Arabidopsis thaliana: one gene and its partner. The protein of the gene in region 2 purifies or fractionates together with the protein of the main gene of each other region. This does not show direct contact. Each region holds a gene or a part of one and is shown on either strand. Other genes may lie near its edges. The genes, in order: AT1G44835 and AT3G04600.

Region 1 (5,299 bases), on a different chromosome or scaffold from region 2:
TACATACACGAACTTTTCAAAATGACCATAAGCTAAATGCTACTAGTCTATCTCATTATCGACTTAGCAGGAGAAAGCAATCTTAATTTTCCTCTCTTCCTGTTTGTTTCTCATAATTAGGGTTTCGTTTTGCGGACACTTTACCTCTAAAATGGCTTATAGCATCTCCAACCCTACTCTATTTTAGAGTCAAAATGCAAAATTCTTCTCCAACCCTACTCTATAATTGACTCAAAAATAGAGATTTCTACAGATTGACTCTATATATAGAACAACTCTATCCTCAACTCTATTTTTGAGTTCAATTTTTTTATTTATACTTTAGTCCCTCAAATTTAAACTTTTTTTATTTAATGCATATAATCATTTTACAAACAACAATTACAACACATAGTTTTATAAACTTAACAAACAAACAAATACTAATTTTAATAGTTTTATAAACTTAACAAGAAGCAAACAAGTACTAAATTTAAAATAAACAACATAAAAAACTAAAACAAATATTCTAATGGTGTTAACCGTGTTATTTATAATAAATATTCTAATGGTGTTAATTAAAATAAAATTTGTAATGTTTTATTATTTTTATATGATGTAATGATTTTTAATAAATAATAAGTGTTTAATTTAAATAATTTCATATTTTATACGAATTTTGCAAATCTATAATATATGGGGTCAAATTTTAAATTATATAATTAAAAAGTATTAGTATATAAAATAGAAATAGAATATTTCTAAGAATATTCTTTTTTAGAGTAGAAAATAGAGATATACATTGGAGAAAAACTCATCTCTAAAATTGAGTTACTCTATTTTAGAACAAGATATAGAGCTATACATTGGAGATGGTCTTAATACATAGTCAAAATTGATTACTTATTTGATGAAAAAATATGGATTTCTTATTTTATTTTCTCATACCAGTGATTGTTTTGTTGTATTGGGGCTGAAAAGTGTTCTTTCAGCACATCAGAGAAAAAAGTTAAGAATAGTGTGTTAAGCAGTAACCATACTCTTTAAAGCCGTAGATTAATTATTCAAGAAATTAAAACAACTAATTAAACAAAAATCCTAGCAAAATCTATTTGAATGAACCATATCCAAATCCACAAAGTCAGTCCCCCAAATGTTGAAACACGTAAATTAAACACACAACAACAAAAATATAATTAATTAAACATAACTAATGATTTTTATAATTTACACAAAAATCAATCAATATTTTTTTAACTATTTTATATTCATTTCTAACTACTTTTATATTTATATGTTATTAGAAAATATTAATATATATATATTTTTTATCAACCACACATATATTAAAATATAACTCTATGATCGGCTGCCCAATTTAGAGGAGAAGAGTTTACAAAAATAACATCAGACAACAATAAACGAGAAAAACAGGTTAAACAATATGCTTTAGAATTACATAAACGGTAAAAATAAGAAATCGAACCAAGCGTCGTTAGCTCAATTGGTAAAGACCCTAGACGAACCTTAGAGGTCGCCGATTCGAGTGACGTTTGGGACGAAACTAATATTACATGCTGTGGTTTCGGGTCTGAGAGATTACGGGATTCGGTCCAGAACCTCCTAATATTTATAAAAAAAAAAATTTTTAAAATAAGAAATTAAAGCTCGGAACATTCAAACTCGTCTAATAGGTTGGAGAAAGCTGGTCAATCATCAGGCGAATACGCCACCGAGACTAAACTCTACACAATCAGTTTCAAATATCTACAATCAATCCTTCTTGTAAAGATATTTTTCGTAGCCCAAATTTATGATGACTTTTTTTTATTTGTGGTGCACCATTTATGACAACTTAAAACAGTTTAATTTTAAATTAAAAATTTGTATTTTCTTATGACCTGTGGTTATATGTTGGGCCTTTTAGGCATTTGCAAGTTAAGTATGGTCGTGGATTGAAAAGCCCAATGTGTAATCCTCTAGTTTACTAAGAAGGTTTAATGTTTTTCAATCCAGTACTGCAAAATCTGCAAAACCTAAACTTTCGTCTTCTCAACAAAATCTGCAGTTCCTTGCTCCTTTCTCAGTCCAAATTCTCTGATTTTTGATTTTTTCGATTCAATGGGTTTCACCAAAGATCAGTTGCTTGATCGACTTCAGGTTTCCATTTTCACCTTTAAACTCAATTACATCATTTTCATTTCGCATTGCTTTTGTTGGAATTTGTCAGATAAGATTAGATAAATCATTAGCAGAGAACGGAAAATGTTACTTCGTTTTATGCTTGATTCTATTTGAAGAAGTTATGTGTATTAATGGATTTGGATGTGTATCTATGGATTCCAAGTTATGTGTATAGTCGTCTTGAACTCAGAAGTTTTTCAATGTCTACTTTTAGATTCTAACCCTTAGGTCAAGAATTTTGGTGTTACACGTTTTGTTAGTGTCAATGTTAAAAAAATGTGGCAATGTGAATTGATGATTAAGGATTTGTATCTATCTTTCAGGAACTTGAGATTGATTATTCCAAGTATGAACATCCGCCTGTACTAACCGTCGAAGAACAGGTGAATATACCTTAAAATGTTTTAGATTTTTAAAACTTAAGTGTATGATGTTTAAAGATGGATTTATAAGGCTTTGTTTTGTGTATTTAAATCTTCAGGCCAAGTATGTTAGCAGTAGTAAGGGTGCACTGAGTAAGAATCTCTTCTTGAAGGTAGTCTTTCAAAGCGGTACACCATTAAAGGCATTATCAAGTTAGAGTATTAGTTGATTGTTAATGGTGCATATGCCTCTATTTTGTTTTTGCAGGACAAGAAACATCGGTATTATATTGTTTCAGCGATGGTGGATACGAAAGTTGACATGAAAGGTAACATATGTTTTCTCCTTTTTTCGTTTGTGGATATTGGCATAGAAGAAGTCTCTGGGCTTTGTGAAGTTTGAATGTTTTTTTTTTTGGATGTTAATGTGTGTTCCCTGTGACTTCTAATTTAAACAGTTTTATCTCAGAGACTTGGTCTTGGAAAAGGAGGGATTAGAATGGCTCCAGAAGAAGCACTTGGTGAGCTTTTGCAGGTATTTTTCATAGTCTTTTCCTCTGCTACTGTGTTTTGTTATATATATCTGGAAAGAGTTTTATTAAATGATTGTGCTGTAACATGGGAACCATGGTAGCGATAGTTTTTTTGACAATTGATAAGAAAAGTTTCTCCAAACCAAATTGCTTTAAATGATCTATTTATGCATGGTGATATGTTTGTTTTGCTTATCGCAGTTTACAACAAATCCACACGAATATATTGAACTTATTGTCATTCATGTTTACAATTTTTGACACTCGTGCTACTCTCTTTTTTCGTTAAAGGTATCCCTCGGATGTGTTACCCCGTTTGCAGTTGTAAATGAATCAGCAAGGTATTGTTTGCCTTACGGTATTGGTTCATATGGTGTTTTCCCTTCCAAGTTCCTAATTATTTCCATTGACTGACATTCTTTATTAAAACTTTCCATGTTAAAGAGACGTGTCTCTCTTGTTAGACCAAAAATTCAAGAACCAAACGCGTTGCATCTTCCACCCATTGTCTAACGATGTCTCAGTCTGTAAGTTCTTTCATTACAGACTTTTCTTTTATGGTTCAAAATAGTTCATAACATCAGATTTTAGCTTATATCTAATTTGGTTGGTTCCTATCATTTCCAGCTCTGAACACATTGGGTCTGGACAAGTTTCTGAAGTCGATTGGGAGAGATCCCGTATACGTTGACCTTGAGGCAAATACTCTAAACCTTTAACTTGAGAACTCATGTTCCACAGTTCCTTTCCTCAGGGTTAACCTTTTGAACCTTTTGCTGTTTCAGGCTAACCCGGTAGTTGGTAAAGACCAGGCTCCAGATCTAGCTGTTTGTGTTCCGTCTAATTCAGTTATTGTTCCCGAGATTCCTAATCAAACATCTTCTACACAAATTCCTCTTCCAAAAAGTGTGTCAGCAGAGGTCAAGCCTGTGGCTTCAGGTATGCCTGATTTATCAGTTTCTTAACCATGCGCTCCAAGTCTTGTTAAACCGTGAAGGATTGGTTTATATAACTCGGTTTTCTTCAACGGTGCAGCCAAAACGAGCAAGCCAGCTTGTAAGGTGAAGAGCGTCGCTGAAAATTCAGCTCCATCAGCTTACAAGAACCCGGAGAAATTTGTGCAGGAGATTTTGGACAAAACTTCGGCTCTATTATTGTCCGAGGTAGTAAACTCAATCCCGAAACTAAAGTCGATTTCGTAACATTTATAGATCAACTCTGAACCGGTTTTATATACAGGCTAAGGGAGAGTGCGTGGAGGCTTTGGCAGAAACACTAAGAAAACGACTTACCTCAGAGTTGACCCACCTCTCTGTGAGTACATTTCGATATACATGGTTCGCATCGGGTAAGACTAAGCCGTTTGTACTAATCTTGGTTCTATGTAAATTGATTGCAGATTATGTACAAGAACTCAGCGTACGCAGAAGGTTTTTATGCTGGTACACGCCACCAGCCGAAGCGATTGTAAGAGGTTTGGTTTACATGTTGAACCGGAGATATTTGGGAGAGAAACATTACCGGTTCAGCAATATATTTTCCTTCGTTGGACAGCAAATTTTAGATAAGACTGAAAATGATTACATTTACATGAAAGCTCGAACCATTTATTCACTTATTGTTGCTTTGTTTGTTCAATCAAAGATAAACCTTTTCTATATCCGAAAACTGAATTTGAAATTCGAACAAAACGTAAGAAAAACATTCATCTAAAACTTACGATTTTCTGGAATAAAAGAAATATTCGGATATTTCATATACTAAAATAAAAGGTTTTGTGTAAAAAACTCTAACTCATTCATTTTTGCAATTTTACCCTCTATCTCCAACAAATGCAAATTAATCATACATAGTCTAAAATAATAGGAAATATGACTTTTATATGTATATTGCAAACGTTTTTATACTCACCTATATTAGGTTTTAGAAAATTTGAAAATATAGTTGAACTTGGTTTTAGATTTTTTGAAGGAATGTTACACATAGAGGCACTTTCGGAGAAACTTAATTCACTTTATACACTTTAAAAACTAGAGGCACTTTGCCTTGCTTTTGGAGTGAAATAAGACATATTTACCCCCACTAATTGGTAAGAGATATTACTACAAACCGGTTTGTGGTTTCGTTTGGTTTTGGTCTAAAATATACGGTTAAAATGGTCGGTTTAGAAAAAACAGTTTCCACGTTATGACGATCGTCGGATTTCATTTAATTAAACGGCCGTGATTAATCATTGTAACT
Region 2 (5,728 bases):
CAAATTCTGGGTATCAACCAAAACACGAGAAAACTGAAGAAGATCCAAGCACCGATCCAGGAATTAGAAATCTAGGGTTTCGAGTATGAATGAAATGGGAAATGGAAATTGGGGAAGGAGCCGTTAGTGAAGGTGGATGTGATTTTGGCGGGTAAAAAGAAAAAGGGAAAGGAGAGAATCGGGAAGAAGAAATTGGGGGAAGGGGCAAAGACGGAGGAGGAAGGAGAGAAGGGTTGGATTGGGAATTTACAGAAGGGGCAGAAGAGGGAGACATTAGGTTTCCCTTACTCCGATGATGTCCATTTTACACGTTGCCTTCTTCCTCGACAAGGCTATTTATGTCTTTTAGTTCCTTTTTGCTCTCACTCTGCCCTTCGGATTTACTACTATTTACGGACTTGCCCTCTTTGATTTTTTTGAGTCCAGCTACTAAATTGGAAACCACCCCAAGTATTATAAAGCAAAGAAAGGCCCAACTCAACCTATAGATAGTTTTCTCACTCAAACTAATCATTGATTTTGGATTTCATAACTAAACTATACCATTATTTTACCATCAAAATTGACTAATTAAAATTACTTTTGTTAGATATTTGATGTAAATGAACAAAAAATCATTTTTTTTTACTTTTATTATTATTTCTCAGTTATATAAAATTGGTCTCTTTTTGATATTCTGATTTAAAATTTAATATTCTTTTATTTTGATCTTGTAATATATAATTCTATTGAGGTAGGTAATTTTTGTTATATCTTTTTTTTAAAAAAATTCATAAATTTGTAGTTTCACTTTATTCAATTAACAATGCAAATCATTTTAGAATGTGATTCATAAATAAATGTAAATATGAAAATTGTAACTAACAAGTATGGTTCAATTTCAAGGATCAAATCTATCAATAGACACCCAAAGATGTCTGAATCCAAATCAAACGGAGTGATGTGAAGTTGCTGAGGAGCCAAAAAGGGTTTCTGACTTTTTCTATTCGAACATGCTTGGGAGAGGTCTCACCGCCATGAACGCATCAACCATCTGGAACATAAATTTGTCGAATCACTTAGTACAAATGATATTTTGAATCTTGATGATTGACACCAACAAATTTAGTTGATCTTTTTACCTCATCAGTAACAGCAGCTCGAGCCCTGCGGTGTCTCTCCACAATTTCTGTCAACACTTCCGTAAGTCTCTTCTTTACTTCTCCTGTTAGCATTCTTCCTTCTCCATATTCCTGAAACATTATAATCATTGTGTTTTTACTTTTATGAAAAATCCACACAACACATTCTTCCTTCTCTGTATAACAAGCTAGCGACTAAGTGTGATGTTATTATTACCTTTTTAATGTGTTCTAGTTCAGAATCGTCTTCGAGGAAGAAACTCAGATACTTGACGGGTATGTCAACCTATAAAACGTAGAAGGGAGATTACCCCAAAAGAACAATTAAAGCACCAGAACCGATAAGATCAACTATCAAGAATCCGCAACTGATTTAAAATTCTTTCCTAGTCAATTAGTTTATAGCAAGTCCTTCTACATTTCCAGCTGAGTTAGGGGTTAGTTTTTGTTGGCTTGCTAGTACTCTGAGGAACACAATCTAAACAAAGTGAATATTCATTCTTAACTTTCAACCGGATATTACCGCATAAGGAACACAGCTGAGAGTTGCCACTACATAATACAGAATAAGGGACGAAGAGGATACAAGGAATTTGGTACCTCGAGATTTGCTCCAAGTTCTCGGTGCTTCTCAATGGAGTCTTGCCCACCACTAAACGCATATCTGTTTATCTGCATATGAAACCATACCAAGTTTAAATGCTGGACGAAAGTGTCTGAGTTCATTATTAGGACTGGTATTTAATGTTCTGTAACGTGTTTCAGATGCCGTTACACCAGCAAAAGAAAAAAACGAGTGGAAGGACTCGAGTAGCAACCAATCTAGACGATGAATGTGTGTGAAAGCCTACAAGGTTGATGTGGAAACCCAGAATGGCTTGTTATAATAGATGGAAAGAACAAAAAGAATTACAGAATTTACCTTGTTTTTAATGTCCTTTGCGGAATCAGTCACATAGATAGCAGAATTTGGATCACTAGCAGACATTTTTCCATTCTCTCCCTGCGTAAAGTGACCAAGGCAATTAGTTGTGTAAATCAGGAATGTGTAGTGTACTTAAGAAACTACTTGCCTGCAACGCAGGAAAAAATGTTGACTCAATCAGGGCGGGCTTGCTATAGCCTAACCGGGGTGCGACATCACGAGTCATTCTAAAATAAGGATCCTGAACAAAACCAAAAAGAAAGAAAGATTGGTTATAAATACAAATGTGATACATGGAAAACATAAAAGAAACTGATTATGGATGGAAGTATCACATGCTCGCAGTCACAGACATTTTTATACCAATGGGAAGTTATTAATCTTTTAAAAAGGCAAACAGGTTAATATAAAAAGTAAGAAAACAGCACACCTGGTCAATAGCACAAGGAATCAAGCAGCGGAGATTGTCCTTGCCAGGGAACAAATGTGGGAATGAGCTAGGAAAAGATGGAACTGCCTGCAAATATACGGAAAACAATTATACAGTCTATATGCAGTTAGAATACACATAGCCACACCAACAGAACAAACGACATACCTGCACAGGAGGGAAACTGAGTTTCGCGATAGGATCTTCACCGGAAAAGCCAAAGATTCCCATAGCCTAGCAAAGAAGGAGATATACAAATGAAAACCACAAACACAAAGTAGCTATACAACATATCAGCCGCATTGTGCAATTCAAGGAGATAGATAGTAAAGTCACCTTATTAAGTGTAACGCACTTGCCAACCTTCACCATATTTTTATAGAAAGCACTACACACAAAGTTTTTGCATATGATCAGCCAAATATACTGTGATACATCAATCAAAAAAAAAAAAAAAAACGAAGGACAATATATGATCTTACAAATCTTCGCCAAAAAAAAAATAAAAAATTGAGCTACATGCATGTAGACTATATGTACTACCAAGAGCTCTTCAAGCAATATTTTCTACAAAGCAAGAGCGGTGCTAGTTATTTCCATAGAAGATTCGAATGCGACTTACCCGCCAACATAGTCGAAGTCCGAGAAAATGAAGGTCTTTGTTACATCGAATCCACAAGCAATAATATCTTTCGCATTTTCTCTGGCAAGTCTTTGACTTTCCTCCACCGATAAGTTCTTCCATATACTTTTTTCATCATCCGTGAGCTGTATAACAAGGGGAACCTTGAAAGCTTCTTGCAAGTATCTGCAAACCATTTCAAGTATAAAGAGCAAGCACAATCTACCAAATCCGTAAACATGGTAAGACAATACTAGCTCCAGGATCTCACTTACTTGGTAAACATGAAAGGAATCAAATGCCCCAAATGCAATGCTTCTGATGAAGGTCCTCTTCCAGTGTAGAGATAGAACTTGTCTCCTCTCTCATAAGCGTCCAAAATCTCATTGAAATCCCTGTTAAAACCTCACAATTAAAACAAGCAAGACGAGAAATTTCTACACAATTAATTAAAACAGTGAATGTCTAACCGGTGGGCGAAGAAGACACTACGGCGGAGGAACACGTGTGGTTGACGAGAAGTCAGTCTCTGAACACGATCAATCAGTGACTCGTCAAGCCTTTGACATCCAAATTTGTCAATAAGCTTGTCGTAATCGATCTTCCCGCCGTCTTTGGCGGACACTTCCCATGGATTCACCACTTGCTCCGAAGATTCAGCCTCTCTCTCGTCCTTCTTATCCACCTCCATCGCGACGGAAAACAAAAACCTATACAAAAACAGAAGTCAGATTCAAAATCCTATTAGCAAACAAGCTGAATAGAGCTGAATGAAATTGTTATATCCAAGTACCTACGGTTGTTGCCGGTGATAAGACGGCCGTGGATATACGGCGGTGGTTTTGCGACTGGAGATAGTCTTTAGACTGACGAAGAACAAAACGAGGTTTAAGTCATATATTTATTACTATTTGGGAGTCAGAATATTTTATTTTTGTCAATTTTGCCGTCAAGTTTTAGATATACACATTACCCCTTTCTCTCTGGCCCAAAATTAAAACAATTATCGTCATTTATCCCTTTACTTTTAGAGAGAACAAATATCCCCCTCTCGTTAATTTTTTCAATTGTATCACTAATCAAAGTCTTTGACGCCATGATTGCCTTTTTCACTAGAAGTTCATTCATCATCTAAATGCACCGGTCCGGTTTATTGAATATCTTCTTCGTCTTTCTTTCTGATCCGTTAATAATCTTTCCATAGTCTATAAGATGTTATCATAATTTCATAAATTTTCATAATCCAATAGTTGATTAGTTTATGCACTAAAATAGGTGTTAAAAGATTTTAGATATGAAAATCATGTTTTGTGAATTTGAGAAAGAAGAAGAAGGGAGAAGTTTTTGGAGTGTTGTTTAGTGATGGAAGAAAATTCTGATGATGTTTATAACTAAACAAGATATGTCAAGAGATAAAAAAAAAAGAGTGGTGAGTGATGGGACGTTTGATTCTCTCATTGGTCTTTTCATCTCTAAAGGATGCTTCGGTTAGTCAATACAAGACTTGAAGATGCATTAAATCTGAAAAGGCCGGCCTTTGAGTTTTTATGGAGTTCATTTTGTGCTAGCTACATTTTTCAGTACTTGAAATCCCATCCGTTTATGCAATCTCCTAGCCAAAACAGATCATTGAGTTCCAAACAGTTACAAAGTCTTTTTTTCCCCTTTGTTTGATGCTTTGTTGCTTGTTTAGGAAGAAAGTGAATATGTGGCCTAACCGGGGTATTGGTTAGTGATTAAAGGCCTTTGTTGAATACCAATGTTGACGAATGCAAAGTTGAAAAAGGAGTTCAATCTTTTTGTTACACCCCCATTGACTTTATCATTTTCTTTTAATCATTCAAATCATGGTTTCTTTGAAATTGGAGGATATGTTAAATCAACCATGTACTAAATGACTAGAGAAAAGTGAAAAACTGAGAAGGTGAGTGAGTGATCTTTCGTTTCCCTCTGAAAAAATTAAATTTCTGTTTCCTCGAGAAATAAAAACAGATAAAAAAGGGTAAAAAGAAGAGATGCTTTAACACACATAAGTCAAAAACATCTTAAGTCAAATCTAGAAGATCTAACGGTTGAGATTCTATCTCATCATCTTCCTTCTTATCGATTAATATATAAGTATAAAATAATAAAACCCTAAAAGAAAACAAAAAAAAATGCAAAAAGAAAAAATGAAAAAAAATCCCTAACTCTCTCTCTCTAGAAATTCTTATTTTTGTGCGTATCTCTCTAAAAAGGAATGGATCCTAACGAAAGCCACCATCACCACCAACAACAACAGCTCCATCACCTCCACCAACAGCAACAGCAACAGCAGCAGCAGCAACGACTCACTTCTCCTTACTTCCACCACCAACTACAGCACCATCACCACCTTCCAACCACCGTAGCAACCACCGCTTCTACCGGAAACGCCGTTCCATCTTCCAACAATGGGCTTTTCCCTCCGCAGCCTCAGCCACAGCACCAGCCTAATGATGGGTCATCTTCTCTCGCGGTGTACCCTCATTCAGTTCCGTCCTCGGCTGTGACGGCGCCGATGGAGCCGGTAAAGAGGAAGAGGGGTCGACCAAGAAAGTATGTGACGCCGGAACAAGCCCTAGCGGCTAAGAAATTGGCGTCTTCTGCGA

What was found.
Region 1: the proteins of AT3G04600 (region 2) and AT1G44835 fractionate together in Arabidopsis thaliana (co-fractionation; one large-scale study listed by BioGRID). This does not show direct contact.

What each region holds. Positions count from the first base shown.
Region 1 is NC_003070.9:16,937,809-16,943,107, forward strand, and holds AT1G44835 (YbaK/aminoacyl-tRNA synthetase-associated domain-containing protein), read left to right. Parts: upstream 1-1,992; 5' UTR 1,993-2,100; coding exon 2,101-2,139; intron 2,140-2,486; coding exon 2,487-2,546; intron 2,547-2,644; coding exon 2,645-2,698; intron 2,699-2,793; coding exon 2,794-2,854; intron 2,855-2,983; coding exon 2,984-3,060; intron 3,061-3,349; coding exon 3,350-3,399; intron 3,400-3,502; coding exon 3,503-3,585; intron 3,586-3,685; coding exon 3,686-3,756; intron 3,757-3,843; coding exon 3,844-3,997; intron 3,998-4,093; coding exon 4,094-4,224; intron 4,225-4,297; coding exon 4,298-4,372; intron 4,373-4,457; coding exon 4,458-4,529; 3' UTR 4,530-4,715; downstream 4,716-5,299.
Region 2 is NC_003074.8:1,241,213-1,246,940, reverse strand, and holds AT3G04600 (Nucleotidylyl transferase superfamily protein), read right to left. Parts: upstream 4,013-5,728; 5' UTR 3,892-4,012; intron 3,809-3,891; 5' UTR 3,790-3,808; coding exon 3,569-3,789; intron 3,494-3,568; coding exon 3,374-3,493; intron 3,285-3,373; coding exon 3,099-3,284; intron 2,865-3,098; coding exon 2,813-2,864; intron 2,711-2,812; coding exon 2,645-2,710; intron 2,564-2,644; coding exon 2,477-2,563; intron 2,288-2,476; coding exon 2,195-2,287; coding exon of another isoform or gene 2,191-2,194; intron 2,125-2,190; coding exon 2,044-2,124; intron 1,794-2,043; coding exon 1,722-1,793; intron 1,408-1,721; coding exon 1,339-1,407; intron 1,233-1,338; coding exon 1,122-1,232; intron 1,034-1,121; coding exon 983-1,033; 3' UTR 730-982; downstream 1-729. Other genes in the region: AT3G04590 (AT hook motif DNA-binding family protein), read left to right, coding at 5,338-5,728.